4 linked regions of the Oryctolagus cuniculus genome follow. The protein of the gene in region 1 interacts with the protein of each later gene in a pairwise test. Links are inferred from orthologs where the notes say so. Each region holds a gene or a part of one and is shown in the gene's direction. Other genes may lie near its edges.

The links.
Region 2: the proteins of TOLLIP (region 1) and TOM1L2 interact in binary tests that used the Homo sapiens proteins (3 or more experiments, as listed by UniProt). The link is inferred for Oryctolagus cuniculus from reciprocal best matches to the Homo sapiens genes TOLLIP and TOM1L2.
Region 3: the proteins of TOLLIP (region 1) and ODAM interact in a two-hybrid assay, tested with the Homo sapiens proteins (2 studies listed by BioGRID and IntAct). The two-hybrid records come from large-scale screens. The link is inferred for Oryctolagus cuniculus from reciprocal best matches to the Homo sapiens genes TOLLIP and ODAM.
Region 4: the proteins of TOLLIP (region 1) and TOM1L1 interact in binary tests that used the Homo sapiens proteins (3 or more experiments, as listed by UniProt). The link is inferred for Oryctolagus cuniculus from reciprocal best matches to the Homo sapiens genes TOLLIP and TOM1L1.

The regions. Positions count from the first base shown.
Region 1 is NC_091432.1:2,059,166-2,063,902, forward strand, and holds part of TOLLIP (toll-interacting protein), read left to right. Parts: exon of another isoform or gene 1-2,194; intron 2,195-3,213; coding exon 3,214-3,363; intron 3,364-4,737. UniProt on the Homo sapiens protein: Component of the signaling pathway of IL-1 and Toll-like receptors. Inhibits cell activation by microbial products. Recruits IRAK1 to the IL-1 receptor complex. Inhibits IRAK1 phosphorylation and kinase activity.
Region 2 is NC_091448.1:62,676,499-62,681,925, reverse strand, and holds the start of TOM1L2 (TOM1-like protein 2), read left to right. Parts: upstream 1-1,976; 5' UTR 1,977-2,056; coding exon 2,057-2,108; intron 2,109-5,427. UniProt on the Homo sapiens protein: Acts as a MYO6/Myosin VI adapter protein that targets myosin VI to endocytic structures. May also play a role in recruiting clathrin to endosomes. May regulate growth factor-induced mitogenic signaling.
Region 3 is NC_091439.1:95,210,720-95,215,944, reverse strand, and holds the start of ODAM (odontogenic ameloblast-associated protein), read left to right. Parts: upstream 1-1,948; coding exon 1,949-1,999; intron 2,000-2,087; coding exon 2,088-2,129; intron 2,130-2,645; coding exon 2,646-2,693; intron 2,694-2,988; coding exon 2,989-3,222; intron 3,223-3,617; coding exon 3,618-3,665; intron 3,666-5,225. UniProt on the Homo sapiens protein: Tooth-associated epithelia protein that probably plays a role in odontogenesis, the complex process that results in the initiation and generation of the tooth. May be incorporated in the enamel matrix at the end of mineralization process.
Region 4 is NC_091448.1:30,674,129-30,678,865, forward strand, and holds part of TOM1L1 (TOM1-like protein 1), read left to right. Parts: intron 1-3,060; coding exon 3,061-3,121; intron 3,122-3,486; coding exon 3,487-3,604; exon of another isoform or gene 3,605-3,702; intron 3,703-4,737. UniProt on the Homo sapiens protein: Probable adapter protein involved in signaling pathways. Interacts with the SH2 and SH3 domains of various signaling proteins when it is phosphorylated. May promote FYN activation, possibly by disrupting intramolecular SH3-dependent interactions.

The DNA.
Region 1 (4,737 bases):
CCTCGGTCCTGGGCATCGGCTCCAGATTCTGCTTGGGTTCCCACTGTGGCCCTCCTGTCCCAAGTCCCTTGCTCATCTCTTCCCTCTGGGTCTGTCTCTGCCTCTCACTGTCCCTTGCTGTCAGGGCCAGGGCAGTTTGGGGGTCGTGAGGGATTTTGTAGGATGCCCCAGTGTGGGGGATGGGGTTTGGGAAGAAGGCTGCAGAGGTGAGAGGTTCTCCCCGCGCCCCCTCACCTCAGGGGGCTGCCTCGCTGTGTCCGCTCCCCATGGCGCTGGCCGTGGTGCTGCCGGCGGCCAGCTGTCTCCTCCCAGAGAGCCCCTCCCCTTCGCACGGGGTTCACTGTTCGCATTGTTAGACTCCCTCACTTGATACTTGTAGTTTATGGTTAAATTCTTCTTGGAAAAAACACTAGGTCTTTGGACCTTTCCGAGTAATTTTATATTCCCAGTCTTCAGTGGGGGCCCGGGGGAGGGTGTGATGACAGGGGAAGCGCCACCCAGAATTCCACCCCGAAGGGGACAGGCGGGACGGGCTGTCGCCTCTCCGGAGCCTGCTCTTCAGGGCTTGCGCTGGCCTGCCTGGCCCCCCGCGGGCCCCTGCTGCAGTCTCAGGGTCTCAGGTGAGGCCGTGGGAGCTGGGCTTTTGTGCGTTAATGCCGAGAGCCCGGTTGACATTGGGTCGTCTCTGCGAGATACTCTGTTTACGTTGAGTGGAGACAGATGGCGCAGGCTGTCAGGTGTGAAGGCAGGGCCAGGTGCCCGCGGGAAGACGTCTCCATCACGGTCATTCCATGGACCCCTTCTCACGGCTTTGCCCAGGACAGCTGGCCACGTGGCACCATCTCAGGAGAGCCAGCTGCGGAGTTCCTAGGAGCTTGTGTAGGCCGGAGCTGCCGAGAGCACTCAGACGATGACAGCGGGGTGCAAGCCGGCTGTGCAGCCGTGGTCCGGGAGCCTGTAGCCAGGGCTGGGGAGCCACTTCTTTCTGCCAAACCACACAAGATCAGTTTTGTTTTTTTTTTTTTTTTGGACAGGCAGAGTGGACAGTGAGAGAGAGAGAGACAGAGAGAAAGGTCTTCCTTTGCTGTTGGTTCACCCTCCAATGGCCGCCGCGCTGCGGCCGGTGTACCGCGCTGGTCCAATGGCAGGAGCCAGGTACTTATCCTGGTCTCCCATGGGGTGCAGGGCCCAAGCACCTGGGCCATCCTCCACTGCAGTCCCTGGCCACAGCAGAGAGCTGGCCTGGAAGAGGGGCAACCGGGACAGAATCCAGCGCCCCGACCGGGACTAGAACCCGGTGTACCGGCACCGCAGGCGGAGGATTAGCCTAGTGAGCCGCGGCCCCGGCCAAGATCAGTTTAAAGGCTGGTCTGCTGTAGGTGGGCTGAATCTGGAGTTCAGCCTGCAGTGTCCTTGGCGAGGCCAGAGCCAAAGAAGGCACCGGCCTTGACAGCCTGTGGGTCACACGCTGCCCACCTCTGCTGGAACTGCTCAGTGCTCTGGGAGCCGGCGTCTCCTCCTGTGTCTGTTAGGTCTGCAACTCGGCCTGGGCTGTGCTCCCCAGGCCTGAGCTGGGACACCAGGCGAAGAGACAGACTCTCAGGGGCTCCTGAAGTGACACCCAGTGCCCTGGGGGAGGCGTGCTTTCTGGTAGTGCTTTTTTTTTTTTTTAAAAGATTGATTTATTTATTTGAAAGAGTTACACAGAGAGAGGAGAGGCAGAGAGAGAGAGAGAGAGAGAGAGAGAGGTCTTCTATCTGATGGTTCTGCTGCAACGGCTGGAGCTGCACCGATCCGAAGCCAGGAGTCAGGTCTCCCACGCGGGTGCAGGGGCCCAAGGACTTGGGTCATCCTCTACTGCTTTCCCAGTTACATTAGCAGAGAGCTGATCGGAAGAGGAGCAGCTGGGACTCGAACCAGTGCCCATATGGGATGCCGGTGCTTCAGGCCAGGGCGTTAATCCGCTGTGCCACAGTGCTGGGCCCAGCTGGTAGTGTTCTGAGCACACAATATGGAGCCCACCAGACTGAAGAACCTTCTGGAACCCTGCCTGGAGTCTTGGGGAGACCATGGTCCAGGCAGGCTCAGGGTCTGGTCTGTGGGGCAGAGGCAGTGGGGTTCTGCAGAGCCCCTGGGTGTACCGCATGCTCCTGGCCTCCGTCTGGCCGTGACACACGCCACTTACTTCCCGGCAGGCCCCTCGGCTCTGGGGCTCACGGGTCAGCAGCAGCCAGTGCCCTGAGCACAGCCCCTCCCTCCATGGTAGTTTCTTGGCCCAGAGGCCGTGACCTGTGTCACGGAGGGGCGGTCTTCCCACTGTTCACCGCGCCCGCCTGCTGAAGCCCATGCAGGCTCCTCAGGCAGTGTGGCCATCTTGAGGACCCCAACGGACCCCTGCCCTCAGCCCTCCTGCCGGGGACCCCAGACACTTGGGTCGTTTCTGGCCGCCATTGCTTTGCCGCGAGTCCCTGCAGTGTGGCCCCGGCGGCTCCTGCACCATCTCCTTTGCTTCTCTCCTGTGTGAACCGCTCCTGGGGTCACTTGCAGGCGTCCCTGCTAATCCTCGCTAAAGTCTACTCCTGAGTGTTTGGGGTCCTTCGAGTTTCTCTGGAATTCATTCCCTGGGGTGTCTTTCTCCTGCCCCAGTAGCTCCTCTGTGTCCCGCCCTCTCCCTGCTCATGGTGGGGGTGCTGGGCGGGGCCCACCTAGCCGCAGGACCCCTGAGAAGGAGGTCAGATGTCCACAGGGCTTTGTCTGGGTCTGTTTACTTCTTGTCTTCTCCTGGGACAGTTCTGCATCTGGACTGTCTCAGGTGTAGGCGTGGCTGCGCGCCAGCGCACGGGGCTCGCAGATGACCTTGGCCAAAGATCAGATCTCCTCTCGCTCCTGTCTGACCGTGCCGCGCGTTCACTGACCTTGGCTTCAGTGTGGACACGCGGAAGGGAAGCGTGTGGGCGGCAGCCTGCCAGGCCTGCCTGGGGGAGCGGAGCCTGTGTTCAGTGGCAGAGGCGGCAGAAGCTCTCCGGGCGGAGGGACGACGGCCCTTTGCTGATGGTCAGGGTGCAGGCGCTGGAAGGGCTGAGCACCGTGTGGGGCTTGGAGAGGAAATGGGTGGGGGTGGGGGCGCAGACTGGGCCCTGGGTGGAGCCCAGAGGCTGCAGTTTGCACCGGGCTCCCGGCATCTGACGCCGTCTCCCGCCCTCGCCCCGGCAGGTGTACATCGGGGAGCTCCCGCAGGACTTCCTCCGCATCACGCCCACGCAGCAGCAGCAGCAGATCCAGCTGGACGCCCAGGCCGCGCAGCAGCTGCAGTACGGAGGGGCGGTGGGCACCGTGGGCCGCCTCAGCGTCACCGTGGTGCAGGTGGGCACTGGCGGTGGGGGGGATTCCTGCTGGACAAAGGGCACCTTGCATCTGGGTGTGCCGACACTCACATATGATGCTGAGTGACGACCGATTCCGGGATTCTGCCAAAAATAACTCGAGAGTTGGGTGATAACGGTTGCTGGACGTCGGCCCTGTGCCAGACCCTGTTCTTCCACGGGGCAGCCGGGGGTGGGGGGCTCAGAGCAGCCCAGTGCTCCCTCGGCCAGCTGAGACAGCAGTGTCGTCACTGTTGTGTCCAGCGGTATCGCCGTTGCCGCCGAGCTAAGTCCTATTAAAACGAAGGCAGCTTGGCAGTCGGCGCACAGTGGGGCGTTTAAATGCCCTGCTTACAAGGCGTGCAGGCTGCCGGAGCTGCGGAGGCCAAGGGCCACTGTGTGCTGGGGGCACCGTGAAGACTGGTCACCTCAGTCCCTGACCTGCGCAGGCCCACGGGCTGCAGGTGGACTGCAACACTGAACGTGGCTCGCTCACACCAAGCGCCCTGTGAAGCCGAGCAGACGTGCAGGGCCTCGCGGGTGCAGGGGGCTTAGGGGGCCATCATCAGGGGACTCCCGCGTGCTGGCCTGGAACTTGCTGCTCACTGGAGCCCTGGGCTGCCACCTCCTGGTGGGGTGCTGCAACTGCAGGTGCTCGGGTCCGAGTGCCTGGCCGGGCTCGCAGGGGCCTCCGCGGTGCCCGCTCCCTCGAGCTCACCACAGGCTGCCTGTGTGCTATGGCGGTGCCAGGCCCTGGTTCCTGAAGAGGCCTCCTGGTCGCTTCCCCAGCGTTTCCCTTCCTTTTTGGGAACCCTTCTTCTGTCCAGGCGGCTACACGTCTCCTGGCTGCCTCCCCTGGAGGTCTCCGAGCCCCACGGCTGCCCTGAGAGCAGGTCAAGTCTGTGCCCTTCTCGTGCCCCAGGGCCTGTGAGCGTGTGCAGACCTGGCCCCTGGCGCCACCCCGTGCGGCTGGGACTCCTGCAGAGCACGGCACTCACGCCCTCCCTGGTGTCTGGTCAGCCTTTCAGACGCATGCAGCCAGGTGGCCGTGTGTCGTCTCCTCCTCGCCACCCTGTCTCAGCACAGGCCGCAGCCCGGGCCCCTTCATCTGCCCCCAACCCCATGCCCTGTCTCAGCACAGGCCGCAGCCCGGGCCCCTTCATCTGCCCCCAACCCGTGCCCTGTCTCAGCACAGGCCGCAGCCCAGGCCCCTTCATCTGCCCCCAACCCCATGCCCTGTCTGAGCCCCCCATGCCCACTCTGAGCCCCCCATGCCCACTCTGAGCCCCCGTGCCGTGTCTCAGTGCAGGCCGCAGCTCCGCTGCCTCTGTGCTCAGCTGCTAGAACAAGGCTGGGGCTGGTTGCTCCCCGCATG
Region 2 (5,427 bases), on another chromosome or scaffold:
GGGACTCGATTTACACATAGGACGAACCCCAGTTTCCAGGTAAGAAATGGACCCATCTTTCTAAGCATGGCTCAGCTGTACCCAGGGTTCCAGACACTCTCACTGCCACCGTGCACAAGGTTTCTCACAGCTGTCCCAGGTCAGGGATGAGGCCCGAACAGCCCTGTGCTGTGGGGATACAGTCAGTAATTCACCACCCAGGCCAGGTCCCTGCCGACTTGCCTGTCAGTGGCGTCAGTGAGCCCAGAGTTAGGCGGCAGAGACAGCAGCTTCAAGTCCGACGCCGCTGCGACCTGAAGAGCCTCTTCGCCGGGAAGCAGGTGCAGCAGTTTCCTGGGAAACAGGAACCGTGGGCCAATCGGCTCTGCGACGCACAGTTCCCAGTGCCCATGAATTACTAAGGAGGGGAGCAGCCACTAACAGGGTTTGCGTGGACTCTGCGCACACGCACTATTGAATTACACACCAGCTCTGCAGGCCGGGACATGGCACAGGGTTCAGATACGCGGTGGAGGGGAAGAAGATACTTGGCCAAGGTCACACAGCGGAGTTACTAACAGGGACGACCCTGCATTCCCAGCCAAAGCCAAGGGAGAATGATCACACAGACGTGCAGAGGTTGACGATGACAGCCGGAACCTGGAGGAATGATCAGCAGACAGGAGAGCAAGCACACTGTGTATGGAAAGGTTTAAGGGGCTGGCGCTGTGGCGCAGCGGGTTAATGCCCTGGCCTGATGTGCCAGCATTTCATATGGACGCCGGTTCTAGTCCCAGCTGCTCCTCTTCTAATCCAGCTCTCTGCTACGGCCTGGGACAGCAGTGGAAGCTGGCCCAAGTCCCTGCACCAGCGTGGGAGACCTGGAAGAAGCTCCTGGCTCCTGGCTTCAGATTGGTGCAGCTCTGGCTGTTGTGGTCATTTGGGGAGTGGGCCAGTGAAGGGGAGACCTCTCTCTGGCTCTACCTCTAACTCTTTCAAAGAAATAAAATAAATCTTAAAAAAAAAAATCTTTTCTGGCCCTGCGCCCTTACCCTCTCCTTCCTCACCCACAGAAAGCCCAAGACTAAGTGTTGTGGCTGGCTGAAGCCAGCGTCAGGTGGCTGTCCCAGGAGCCGTGAGCTCACTTCGCAGAGGTGGGCGTGGGATTCGGCAGCCCTTAGGACACCGCTGGGGCACCCACGTCTCGTGCTGGGGTGCCGGGGTTCGAGTCCCGGGAGCTCCTGGCTCCCGCTTCCTGCCAACAATGCACACCTGGGAAGGGGTGGGTGCCGGCTCAAGTGCTCACGGCCCCACCGCCCACGCGGGAGACCTGGGCTTTTGAGGTTATCTGGGGAGCACACTAGTGGACCGACCTCTCTCCCCGCTGTCCGCCCCGGGTCTCCTCTCCTCTCCTCTCCTCTCAGGCGCCGGCTTCCGGGCTGGGTCTGCGAAGCAACAGCGTCCCCCGGTTGCTAGGGAACCAAGCGCCGCCGCTCGGTCGCTAAGGGGAAGTTAAGAGGTAGACATCCTGGGTGAAAGTGGACGCATCACGTGATCAGTTCTCGGGGCGGGGAAATCCTACCACACCAACCAGGCTTAGAGAAAACAAACGTTTACCCAATCAGCACTTTCTGTGGGCGGGGATCTTCGTAGATCCACCTCCTCGCCTTGCCCCTATTTAAGTGATTGACTCGTCTTTATCCAATAATACTAAGGATTCTCTAGCTTGACCGATATATGGACGAATCAACACGCAAAGCCTCTCTTTAGGAGGCGGGCCAGGGGAGGTGCCGCTACGCCTGACGGGGACTCCAGCGACCTAGCTCGCTCTCCGGCCAATCGGACGCCGCGGGGTGGGTGGGAGCTTCACTGAGGTAGAGGCGAAGGCCAATCGGATGAGGGCTGTGTAGGCGTTGCCCAATAGAGACGCGACAAGGGGGCGTGGTCAAGGGCCCGGGGCTCGGCGTTCCTGAGGGTGGGGCGGGGGCAAGTGTCAGGTCGGGACCGCGGCTGGGGACGGCGGAGACCCGGGCGGGCAGACTGGACGCCCCGTCCGCCGCCGCGCTTTCCGTGCAAGATGGAGTTCCTCCTGGGGAATCCGTTCAGCACGCCGGTGGGGCAGTGCCTCGGTAAGGCCCCGCGAGCGGCGAGCGGCGAGCGGCGAGCGGCGAGCGCCGGGGTGGGTGACGGCGGCGGCTGTCGAGGCTGGTGCGGACCGCGCGGGCCGCTGCCGGCTGAGGGTCCCCCGCCTCCAGCCCCGCAGCATCTGTTGGCGTCGCGCCTGGGCCGGGCAGCGGGGCCAGCTCACGGGACGGGTCCGGCATCCTGGTCGCCAGGCCTCCGCTGGGCAGCGGGATGCCCTGCCAGGAGGCGCCCCTGGGGCCCAGCTCGTACTCTTGCGAGACTTCCAGCGGCCCTAGCCATCCGGGCCGGCCCTCCCTGTCCCCTCGAGGTGGTGCTACGCTGAGCACCCTCTTCCACCCTGCCGGCCTCGCGGCCCTGTTTCCCCCCACCCCGCCAGGACCCGCTCACCCGGCCGTCCCGGACGCCTGTCCCTCCCCGTCAGTACCAGCAGCCCTCAGACTGGGCGTCTCCCCAGAAAATGCCCCAGGTTGCAAGACTCGCTCGTTGGCGAGGCGACTCAGCCGAGCTGTCGAGGGGGTCGTGGTGGGGCGGGGTGTTGGAGGGTGGCGGGGCGCTGTGGGGGCGGGGTGCCATTCCGGACTGAGCGTCCCGGGAAAGATGGGAGACTGTGCAAGTGAGTGATAAGAGCCTGGAGCGGGCACAGTGGCCTTGTGCCCCCTCTGAGTTGAAGTTCCGCTGTGAGTGTTTGGAGGGAGAGAGCTGGTGAGGCGTTTGGGGCGGTCCCGTTGTGGAGTTGTGATCCTAATAGCAGCTGCATGGTGAACAGGTTGCTAATACCCCCACCCCACCCCCCCACCCCCCGCTCTGCTCCGTTTTATTTGCCAAAGCTGAGATCTGGTGGTGCCCGGCCCGGCATTGCCTGCTGGCGTTCTCAGGGTTGGGGGTGGGGCTCTGGCCACCTGGGAAATGGCCGCAGAGATGAGCAGCATCGTGGGTGTGGGAGGAAGCACTCCGGCGTGGCCACCGTGTGGGATTCCCTGAACTGGAAAAGCAGTTGCTTTCCCACCTGGGGCAGGTGCTAGCGACGGGCGTGACCCCTCAAGAATGCTGCCTCGCGCCTTTGACCATCTTAGTTGGAGGACTCGTAAGACATCTTTAGGAACGGGAGGAGCCTTTGCTGGCCCAGGGGCCCGACCGGTTTAGGCCGTGGCGATTTGTTCACTTCCTGCTTTGCGTACCGATTTCCCACCACTTTTCAGCCTTTCGTGGGCCCTGGCAAGTTCCGAGGCCTCTCCTGTTGGCTAACAGGCATTCAGGACGCCTTCCTGGTGTAGTAGCTTTTTATTTTTTTTTTTAATTAAAGATCGTGTTTATTTATTTGAGAGGTAGAGCTACAGACAGAGGGAGTTAGACACAGAGAGAGGTCTTCCGTCCACTGGTTCATTCCCCAAATTGTTGCAACGGCCGGAGCTGCGCCGATCCAGAGCCAGGAGCTTCTTCTGGGTCTCCTGCGCAGGTGCAGGGATGCAAGCACTTGGGCCGTCTTCTACTGCTTTCCCAGGCCACAGCAGAGAGCTGGATGGGAAGTGGAGCAGCCAGGACTTGAACTGGTGCCCATGTGGGATGCCTCTGCCTGTGGCGCCACAGCACCAGCCCCAGTGTAGTGGTTTTTATAAAGGGTCATGGACACTGGGCCCCGAAGTCTCTTTTGCCACCTTGATGGGGTTCTGCTGCCGGCTCAGGTGTCTCTCTGGGCCCGCCCCTTCCGTTCTTCCTCCCATCTTCCCTGCTTCCCGGTGGGGCCGTCCACTGCAGCCGCGTCCCATTTCTTACTGGTGCCGCCCTCCTGCTAGTTACAGAGGAGCCTGTAAGCTTGGGGTGGGTTTCTGCTTTTCCCTTCTTCTCCGCACCCTTTATTATAGAAAGTTCTACATCTTTAACATGTAGGGTAATCGGTGAGGCGGGGAAATCAAAGGGGATTTAAGAAATCACAAATAGGATGTTGGGATATGTGTCAAGTACAAGGAACGTCATACTTAGGTCAGGAAGGACCTGAGTTGAATGTTGGGTGGGCCCATTTCTCAGCTCTGGGACCCCAGGAAATGGTGTGAGCTTTTGACTGTGTATCTGCTAAGAAAGACAGAGAGAGAGAGAGAGCGAGCGAGCGAGCACGCGCCATCCGGAGTGGCACTGTTTCAATAGCATAATGTGTGTAATACATTGAGCATAGCGCCTACAACATAGCAGAGGTTCAGTAAATCTGACCGTCAGCGTGAGTAACAGAATCATTCAGTTAGGCTTGGATTGCTCTCCTGGAGAGGGTACGAGAGACCAGTGGCCCATCCGTGACCCGTGAAGGAAACTGGCCCTCCCAGCCAGCACCGTCCACCGTCGCTTGTCAGAGACACCTGACCGGAAAGATGATGGAGGCTCCCGTTGCCAGGCAACCAGTAGGCAGAGCTGTCATCATCATAGTTCAAGTTAGTTGATGCAGGGTGAGGGGACAGATAAGGTGCTAATACGTATGCTGCACTGTGGTGACCAAGCATAAAGGTGATCTTAAAAGTATGCTCCCTGAAGGGTCGGAGGCTGGGAGAGGGCGGCCCGCAGAAATAAACATAATGGCAACAAACTAATAACTGCAACAGTGGCTGTAGCTTCCACAGAGCAGTTCGAATAGCCATCTTTTTAAAGCATAACTTAGTAATCTGGTTGGTTTATTTTCAATTCTTTGTTTTGTTTTTTTTTTAAACTTTACTTACTTGAGTGACCGAGACCCAGTGAGACAGATTGAAAGATGGAGAGCCCCATGTCAGCTGTTCACGCCACAGATGCCCACAAGAGCCAGGCCTGGGCCAGGAACTCAATCCAGGTCTCCCTCATGGGTGGCAGAAGTTTAGTCATCTGAGCCATCGCCGCTGCCTCCCAAGGGCCGCCTTGGCAGGAGGTTGGAGCTGGCGCCAAACCCAGCCCCTCCCAGGTGGGACGCCGGTCTGTCTACCTCCAGGTTAAGCACCTGCTGTCGACACTGTGCCTTGACCTTAGAGCTGTTGTGAGATTAAGCTTCATCGTCCTTTCTGCTTTGGACTCGAGAACCCTAGGAACAGGGGGTGGAAACGACCGCTCAGCCCGTAAAAAGTGGACCAGGATCTCACACCCATCCCGTCCCCCAGGGCTGCAGGGTTTCAGGAGAGAAAACAGACATGCGTGGAGCAACCATGGCAATGCAGATCCTAAGGGCCACCGGCATTCAGGAGCTGCTGGGGACTGTCCACGAACTCTGCAGGCTAAGAGGAGATCCGGCGGGCCTGGGATGGCACCCGGGGGCAGGAGGGGCCCCCAGTCTGAGTGGAGCCGCAATGG
Region 3 (5,225 bases), on another chromosome or scaffold:
GAGAGAGAGAGAGAAATCTTCCATCCATTGGTTTACTCCCCAAACGGCCACAAGAGCCAGAGCTGGAGCAATCTAAAGCCAGGAGTGAGGAGCTTCTTCCAGATCTCCCATGTGGTTGCAGGGGCCCAGAACTTGGGCCATCTTCTACTGCTTTCCCAGGCCATAGCAGAGAACTGGATCTGAAGTGGAGCAGTCAGGACCGAACCTGCACCCATTTGGGATGCTGCCACTGCAGGTAGCAGCTTTACCTGCTATGCCACAGCACCCTGAGAGCTTTTTATTTAGAGGAGGCTTTAAGCCTTTTCTACAATGTAAATTAAAAATATTTTATCTCAACAAATAAAATATATACAAATTTATACTATATATTATATAAAATAATGCATACAATACATAGCATATATTTATATGTATAAACATATACAGATATAGACTATATAATGTATATAAATGTATACATTTTAAATATGCCACTTGGAATGCCTGTATCTCATATTGGAGTGCCTGGATTCAAGTCCCAGCTCAACTTCTAATTTCAACTTCCTGCTAATGCATATTCAGGGAAGCAGTAAGTGATGGACCAAGTAGTTGGGTCCCTTCATCCATATGAGAGATTTGGGTTGAGTTCCTGGCACCCAGCTTCAGCCTGGCCTAGTCTTGGCCATATTGGCATTTAAGGAATGAATTACAAAATGGGATTTGTCTCTGTATTTCTCTCTCTGTGTCCTTCTCTTCCTCTCTCCCTTTCTCCCACTCTCTCCAGACTCTGTGTGTCTAAAATTTATAATATAAACATATATATTTTTTAAAACAAGAAAAGAAGGATCAAGCATTGTGGCACACTGGATTAAGCCACCACTGTGATGCCAGCATCCCATATTGGATCACCAGTTTGACTATTGGCTGCTCTGCTTCCAATCCAGTTCCTTGCTAATACACCTGGGAAAGCAGCAGAGGATGACCCAAATACTTGAGACCCTGCCATCCACATGAGATCCCTGGATGGAATTCCTGGCTCCTAGCTTTGGCTTTTCCCAGCTCTGGCCATTGCACCATTTGGAGAGTAAACCAGTAGATGGCAGATCTCTTTCTGTCTCTGAATCTGTCCCCCACCACCCTGCCTTACAAGTAAAAAAACTTTAAGAAATAATGAAAAAAGACAAATATTGTCTCAACTGCTTAGTTTTAATAAATTTTTAATGTTAGACAACTATTGTTTTTCAACATAGAAATAAAATTGTTTAGCAATAAGGACCCAATTGGTTGAACATAGTTAAGGGTATCCCATTGTCTGAAGGGCCTTCTTTCAATCTAGAGTAGCAAAAAGATGAGATCATCTTGCTCATTCATGCTTTCAGTTAGATCATATGCCACCACGTGAGCCTTTTAGTCAGTCTAAAAGGACAAGTAATTTCAGGTTCTATAAATATCTAAGAGAAAATACAAGTTCTGTTACAGACACATAAAAATAAATTTAAATTTTAAATCTTCAAATAAGAGTAAATACTGAAGTATTCATCCAACTGCTCTGAACAATACCAACTAACTTTTGTCATGATTTTCAAGAGGAGAGACTCTTTCAAGCTAAGAATCTTAACCTAGCAGTTAAGACACCAGTTAGGAGGCCCACTGCCTGCATTACAATACCTTCATTTGCTATCTGGGTGCAGCTCCTAAGCAAGCTTCCTGCTAATGCCCAACTGTAGGAGGTAACAGTAGTGACTCAGGTGATTGGGATCCTGCCCACCCTCTTGGGAGACCTGAACTTCATTTTTTAATTATCTATCCCCGCTTTGACTTGGCCCTTGCAGGTATTCAGGAAATGGACCAGGAGGTGAGTGTTCTCTGTGTCTGTCTATATACCTCTATCTCTCTAATAAATAAATATTTAACAAAATATTTGATAAGAAAAGAATCACAATTTATTTTCTAGATATTTCATCTGAAAATGAAAATTCTAGCTCTTCTTGGACTTCTGGGAACTACATTATCAGCCCCAGTAAGTAATTTGATGCTACTACTGATCTTACCAAGTAAAATCTACAATTCCTTTGTTTAACATTTCTATTTTTCCTTTTTTGTTTTAGCTTATCCCACAACGTCTTTTGTCTGCTAGCAACAGCAATGAGGTAAGTTTAAATAATTAATGCGATCTCTAGTGAAAAGAGACAATAGCCTTCAATAATCTTGCATCCCACCTACTACTCTTATGTATACCTAAATTTCCAATTTTCACATTAGCTTTTCATACCAGATTACTACTAGTGTAGTATAATGCCTCCCTTGCTTGATTACAAATTCTTCAAAGGCAGAGATAATTACCTTTTCCCTCCTTTTGTTCTAATAGCACCTACTACAAGTGTCTATATCTGTTTAGAAGGACAAAATAACTAATTAAAACACGGGAATGTGCTAACGTTGTGCAATATCACACATAGCATGGAGATATTGTTAAATCCCAACCTTGTTTTTAACTGTAACCTTTAATCACTATAATTTACTGTAAGCTTAGTGAGAAAATGTCTCACTTCTAACAGGAAACTGATCAGTCAGCTTCAACTTGTGTCATATTTGTAGTAAACATTATTCTTAATCATTTTAGCGTGTGCAGTAATCTTGTTTTCACGTTATGTTTCCTTTTCTAGTTACTTCTGAAACTTAACAATGCCCAACTTTTGCCACTGCAGCTCCAGGTACCTCAACCTCAATAATTAAGGAAAAATTTTTTCCACTGCTCGTTTCTTGTGTTATTCTTTACAACAACAGCAACAAAGTGTATTCTGATTCCATTTCTGAAACACATCAATGGGAACTCAGCCATGTTTCATACTATTTATATGGCTCACAGGAGTCAGGATGCTTTTTATAATGCAGCATGAAAAACACAAAACTTGTTACATTTTGTCTCTTTCTTGCTCAAAATTGATGTTAAAATCTTTTTGACATGAAAGAGAAAGGCTTTCTTTTTTTTCCTGTGTGTCCTTGCAGGGCCCATTCAATTCATGGATTCCTCCTCTCTCTGGTGTTCTTCAACAGCAGCAGCAGGCTCAAATTCCAGGACTCCCTCAGTTCTCCTTACCAACTCTGGACCGGTTTGTTGGATTGCTCCCCAGTCAGATGCCTTTCTCAGGACAGGCCAGTTTTACCCAAGGAGCCCAGGCAAACCCAATGGATCCCTCACAGCCTCAACCTCCACCACAGACCCAACAGGGCCCTAATCACGTAAGTTAGTTCTCCATTTGAGGAGAAAGAATTGCATATTTAATGTGAAAAAGAATAGGAATGAGCTTTGAATTAAGACAAGCACCACTGAATAATATTGCTTTTTATATCTCTACCATTTCTTAAACTCTTTTTTTACATTTAATATGAAAGATAATGTTCAAATCAACTATCCTAGTATACAACCACAAATTAAAAGAGCTAAAAGAAGTTTCAGGAAAATTCCATCTTAAAAACAAAGAATCGGTATTAATGTTAGTATGTGTAATAGATGATCTTTTACTGTGCAAGCCTGCTAATACATATGATACATTTATACGGCAGCTCTGTAGCTCAGGGATTTTAAACAATAAAGTCACATATACAATTTTTATCATATTCTCTTTCATTGGCAGGTGATGCCTTATGTAGTCTCCTTCAAAATGCCTCAAGAGCAAGCACAGGTAACTGAAAAGCATGTTGGTATTCACAGAGAAAGATGGCCACAGACACCCTCCAGAAGTCTTTCCTCTGTGTTTCTAGCTCTGAATCCTACGGCAAGGCTTAAAACTAAAAATAAAGATAAATCTATACAGTCATGTCATTGTCTGGATGCCACAACATCAGGCTGACATCGGTTTGTAGATGTAGGATTAGCTTTTTATGAACAGGCAGCCAAGGAGGGTCTCCAGGAAAAACACATGAAACTGATAGTATATGTTATGATATAGAGATAAGAAACATTTATCTATGTAATTTTGGTAGTTATAAAATTCTGCTAAAAACATTTCCAGTTTCTTGTATACAGTGTTTCCAATTTAATTACATATTATAATCAAATGATGATGATTTTCATTAAATAAGAAAATCTTGAAAAATTAAGGCAAACTAATAAAATTGTGTTAATAAGGAAAATGACTAATATCAAGATAATTTATACTATTTTAGGCTCAAAGAAGCAAGGATATAGATATGGTATTCAACAGCAGATTATTGACCTTTTCATTAAAAAATCACACCAGTTAGCTTTACTGTAATCCTAATCACATAATGTTGTCTCATTCTCATCACCAAACAAGTTACTTCTAGATATGGCCATAAGCATTTAAGGAGTTATATGTATGAAAAATAGAATCACTTCACTTTAAGAAGCAGGAAACTTAGCCTTAATAAGATTAAATTTATAATCATAATGAAGAAAATAGCTAAGCTGGAATATAAGTCTCAACCCTTTTTTTTTTAACCACTAAACCAGTGACTCTCTACCTTGGCTTAACATCTAAATCTCTTTGGTAATGTTGGAAATTACAAATGCTTGTACCCTACTCTGAGTCTAATGAATCAAAACCCCGTGAGTCGATGACAACTACGATCATCTTCTAAAATGCTCAATAGGTGATTTTTGCTCTTAGCCAGGATTAAGAACCACTGCACAATATCCACCCCCTTAACCAAGTTGGTCTTTATTTTTTATCTCTTGAGTCTAATATAATCTCTTACATAATGATACAAACAAAAACTGCAATGTAAATACAGTGATCCTCATTTTCTATAAAGACTTGCGTATGTAAATACTTGCAGGCATTTATTAGGGAGCCAATGCATGATAATAAGACTGGTAAAGTTGCAGATGATTTTGTTACTTGTCTATTTCTTGATTTTCCTAATATTCTAAAATGCTTATGGATTACTTTAGTAAAGTATAAATCATTAATTTTTAATAACTTTAAAAGAATGAATGCATTTTTAAAAATTCATTATGCTGGGAATTCTAATGCCATGTCTTACAGGTAATGATCCTGAAAACTATAGGTAAAATGCTACATAGGCTATAGAGGCTCTTAGGTATTTACAGTGACTTTCATATACAATTTCCAATATGTTTCTTAAGGCAAGAAAAAAAACTCCTGTTATTTAGTTGGACCCACTATTGTCTAAACTGTTTGATCAAGTAAACTTAAAAACAAAGTCCTATATCAGATGGGATACAGTTTAAAGTTTGGGAAGGGTTACTTTATCCCATT
Region 4 (4,737 bases), on another chromosome or scaffold:
AAATCTTCAAAAAAGTATACCGTTGTAAAATTAAAAGAAAAAATAGGAAGGAGGAGGGAGAATAGGGTGAGAAAAGTCATTATGCTCATAAATCTGTATATATGAAATTTGTACACCTTACATAAATAAAAAATAATAAAACAAAAATAAAAATGTTTTAAAGGACAAAAACAATGAGTGTCAATTTGCTGGCATTCTAATATTTCATTAATCCATTTAATTTATTGACTTGTTTTTATCTATTCATTATGAATGAAACAGGAGAATCATTGAAATGAAGTCAGTGGCTATTCAATGGTAGTTTGTTTTCTTCCCTGTATTATATTTACTGCCTATTAGGGATAGCTGCCGTTCATCGGAAACAATGACAAGGCATTGACTGATGGCGTGAGCCCAGTGGCCAGAAACCACCAAATGAATGCACAGCCCTTGCCCTTTGTTTTCTGTGATATATATCTTTGTAAGCAGAAAGATATCCAAGGAAAATTCCCACATGATTTTCAGTTCAGTGCTGCCTTCTGGTTTTCATTTTGGAGAATTCTGTTGAAAACCGTAAGACCGCTGCCTCAAGACTTCCCCTGAGGGGGAATATGTACTTATGTGGCCTAACTATCAGAGCATTGGATGACTTCTGTGAACAGCTCACTCTGATTCAGCTTGGAGCATGTGTACCAAAGTGACAGCAGGAAATCACGTGATTCAAATGCTCACGTCTAGAATTCAGAGACAAAGTCTTGCTTCTAGAGAAGGTGCTAGTCTGGTGTTTCAGTCTTCTGTGATTGTTATGGCAAATGACTGCAAACCTAGTGGCTTAAAACAACACAAATTTATTATTACAAGATGATAAATTACTAAGTTTCATGAATCAGGAGTCAGGGTAACACTGGCCTAAATTCGAAGTACCCATAGTGCTGAATCTTTTGGGGCCTCTGGTGGAGAATTTACCCTTTTAACATTTACATTTCCAGAGACTGCCTATTTTCCTTGGCTCCTGTCCCCTGTCTTTCATCTTCAAAGCCAGCAATGTCTAGTAGTTCTTTGTCCACTGTATCACTCTTGCTTCTCCCTCTACTTCTCTCTTCTGTATTTAAGGATATTTTTGACTACATTGGGCTGATCTGTACAGTCTAAGATAATCCTCCCACTCAAGTTCAGCACACTAGCCAACTTCACTTTGTTTACAACATTTATTTCCCCCTTTCCCATGTACCCTGACGCATGCACTGGCTCTGCCCACTAGAATGTGAAGGGGCCATTTTTCTGCCTATCAGAATCTGCCCTCTGGCCCCAAAAGATTCACATGCATCCCACTTGCAAAACACGTTCCCCTATTCCGTCATTCCCGGAAGTTTTCACTCATCTTATCAAGGAAGTAGTGCAAATAAGAAAGTTGAAGTTTGGTAATTCTAGGCTTTATCTGGGAATGCTGTTCATACCCAGCACATAACTGATTGACATGCAAGAAGTCAATGCTATAAGTAGTTGGAATTTCAGAACATGTGTTTTGTGATAATCCTTAAGCCTGATGCATGTTCAGATTCAGTATAAGCATTTAGACTTTAGGGTTTAAGCTTATGGTGTCAATATGTCGTAATAGTAATACTTGCAATAGATTTCTGAAGGCAACTCAATTTTCAAAGCATTCCCACATTCATCTGTTTTAATAGTAATATACTGTCCAATAATAGTTCATTATCTGTCTATACTTGCCCCTAAAAATAACTTCCTAAGGAAATGATTCCAGTGTTATTCCTTTTTAGCAGATAGAGAGCTGAGTTCGGGAAGTCATACCCCTGGTTATGTAGCTAATAGGTAGTAATGCTGACCTTGAACTTCTGTCTTAGACTTCACTAGTGTTTTACATCTATACTGTTTAACAGTTCCTCTTTTACCTCAGCGGTTAAGTGACGAAAAAAAGAGTAAAAGATCAATATTCTGAAGGTATCAGAGTCTAGAAGAATAAAGAAAACAGGCTGGCTTTGTAGCATAGCAGATTAAGCCACCACCTGTAGCACCAGCATCCCATATAGGCGCTGGTTCGTGTCCTGGCTGCTCCATTTCTGATCCAGCTCCCTGCTAATGTGCCTAGAAAAGCAATGGAAGATGGCCCAAGTGCTTGGACCCCTACCACTCATGTGTTAGATCGGGAAGAAGCTCCTGGATCTCTCTCTTTCCCACTCTCTCTATAACTCCGCCTTTCAAATAAAATAAAACTTAAAAAAAGAAGAATGAGGATAAACAATAAAAATATTGTATTTTAATTTTTATGGAAAATTATGATGGCAAAGTCAAAAACAACTGAAGTAACTGGTTGAAGTTGTTATAGATTCATGAGGTAAATATTAAAATTATACTTCTCATTAAGTAGAAAAGTGTAACATATTGATATCAGGATACAGAATTATGTAAAGCTTAATTTCAACTAAGTTTTAAAATAGATTCATTTATAGAAGAAACACTGGGGCTGGCACTGTGGTGCAATAGGTTAATCCTCTGCCTACAGCCCCGGCATCCCATATGGGCACCGGTTCTAGTCCTGGCTGCTCCTCTTCCAATCCAGCACTCTGCTATGGCCTGGGAAAGCAGTAGAAGATGGCCCAAGTGCATGGGCCCCTGCACCTACATGGGAGACTCGGAAGAAGCTCCTGACTCTTGGCTTCAGATCAGCTCAGCTCCGGCTGTTGTATCCATTTGGGGAGTGAACCAGCGGATGGAAAACCGCTCTCTCTCTCTCTCTCTCTCTCTCTCTCTCTGTTTTGCCCTCTCACTGTCTGTAACTCTACCTCTCAAATAAATAAAACCTTAAAAAAAGAAAGAAAAATTACATCTTAATAGTGTTAATTTCTGGCTGATGGGATTATTAATTTTTCAAAAATATTTTTAGTTTTCTATAAGTATTAACACTCAAAATTGGGAGAAAATTATTAAAAGTATTTTACTGGGAATTAAATGATAGGCTAATTATTTCATTCTTAAATATTTGCATACTAATAATTGCTAAATTTTGTGACATTTTCATATCTTTGTATTTAAATACTTTTATTTTGCTAATGCCAACAGGTTTACTCGAAATCAGCAAAGGATTTTAGAGCAAAATAGAAACCAGGAGGAAGCCACCAATGTAAGTGATTAGAAATGTTATAAATGTTCGTATCACATATGTAAGAAGCAAGGCTACCCTAAAACAGTTTTCAGCAGAGAAATGCATTGACATTTTGATGTGATTTTGGTGGTAAAGAGTATCTGCTGTAAAAACTCAATGTTACTAAGTTTTTGTTCAGAGGTCATAAGATTCCTGAGTATGGAAGCCAAGTAGGTAGTGAGATGAGGTTTAGTTTATTATTGACTGTTGAATGAAGACTGCTTCCTCAGAATGCATCCTAGTAACAGTCTTCCTGTCTACAATTAAAGGCCATAGTGAAAAAGCCACTATCGACCACCTGACATGTGTTCTCCAAGTTCTGTTTTTGTTTGCTCTGTTTGCAGGCTACCAGTGAGCCTTCCGCTCCATCTTGTGATCTCCTGGACCTCAGTCCCAGTCCCCCGATGCCTGGGGCCCCTCTGGGAGAACTCAACACCGTGAACGCTCAGCTTTCAGACTTAAGTAAATAAGCACTTGGGCCTTTTCAGACCAGCAGAAGAACTTGATGTGAAGCATTTCTCCTTGGTCTCATGATTAAATGCCGTCTGAGAAGGACTGAAGTCAGTTTGACCAGAGTACTATAACAGGAGATGTAATTACTTGTTAGCATATGGTTGGGTTGAAGCAGGTGCAGGGATGGGACATTTCTGGGATAGCAGGTCCTTGGAGCTCATCCTACTGGCTTAGAGCCTCAGGAATTCAGCTGGCTTGCTTTGTTGAGTTTGGTGGCCAGTACTCTTAAGTCTACTCTGAACTCATACACTTTTATCATTGTTTTTTTCTACTGTGCCATGGCATCAGGTAAGGAAATCTTTGATGCAGGTGAACACATTGAGGATTTTAAAGGCATGATCGATGTGCGGGTGAAATGTAAGGTGGAAAAATGCCAGCTTTAGAGCTAATGAAGTTCCAGTTGACGTCTTCTGAGCCCCCTAACCTCTGAGACTTTCTTACCTTATAAAAGGGGAACCATGGTTGTTGTAGAGTTTATATGAAAGTAAATGAAGTAGTTAAAAATGCATTGCAGGTTAGGCATCACCTATATTATCTAATTTACTGGTTACCTTCTACTATCCTTATTCCTAAGAACAATTAGCAAATTACAAAACGAGGATAGAGGATAGTAGAAAATGGTGAGATCCAGCAGTTTAACAAAATTGAAAACAGTTTGCTTTTCTCTCATCATCTCTTGTTATCTGCTGTTTCCAGAGTAAAATACGACCCTGCACTAGAGATTTTCTGATGGCCAGGTTCCCTAGTTCTAAAATACTGCCTAGTTGCTTATGTGGGCCAGTGGTGTGGGTAGAATCACTTACATTATAGTTTCCTTAGATGTTAGGAATTTTCAGAGGGAAGAAATAGCATTCCCATAGCTGTGTTTCATTTCAGATTATGGGAAGTTAATAGCTTCTAGGTGAGGACAGAACCCTGTCTGTACCATAAATTTTTACCCTTGGCTGGGCAGGACAAGGCATGTTAAATCCTTCCCACTGTGGATCAGCTTGGAATTTCAGAAAACCCAGAACAGTGCTGTTTATCAGGAAATGTCTTTTACTTTCTCCCTAACTGCTACAAATGATACTTTTCAATTTCCT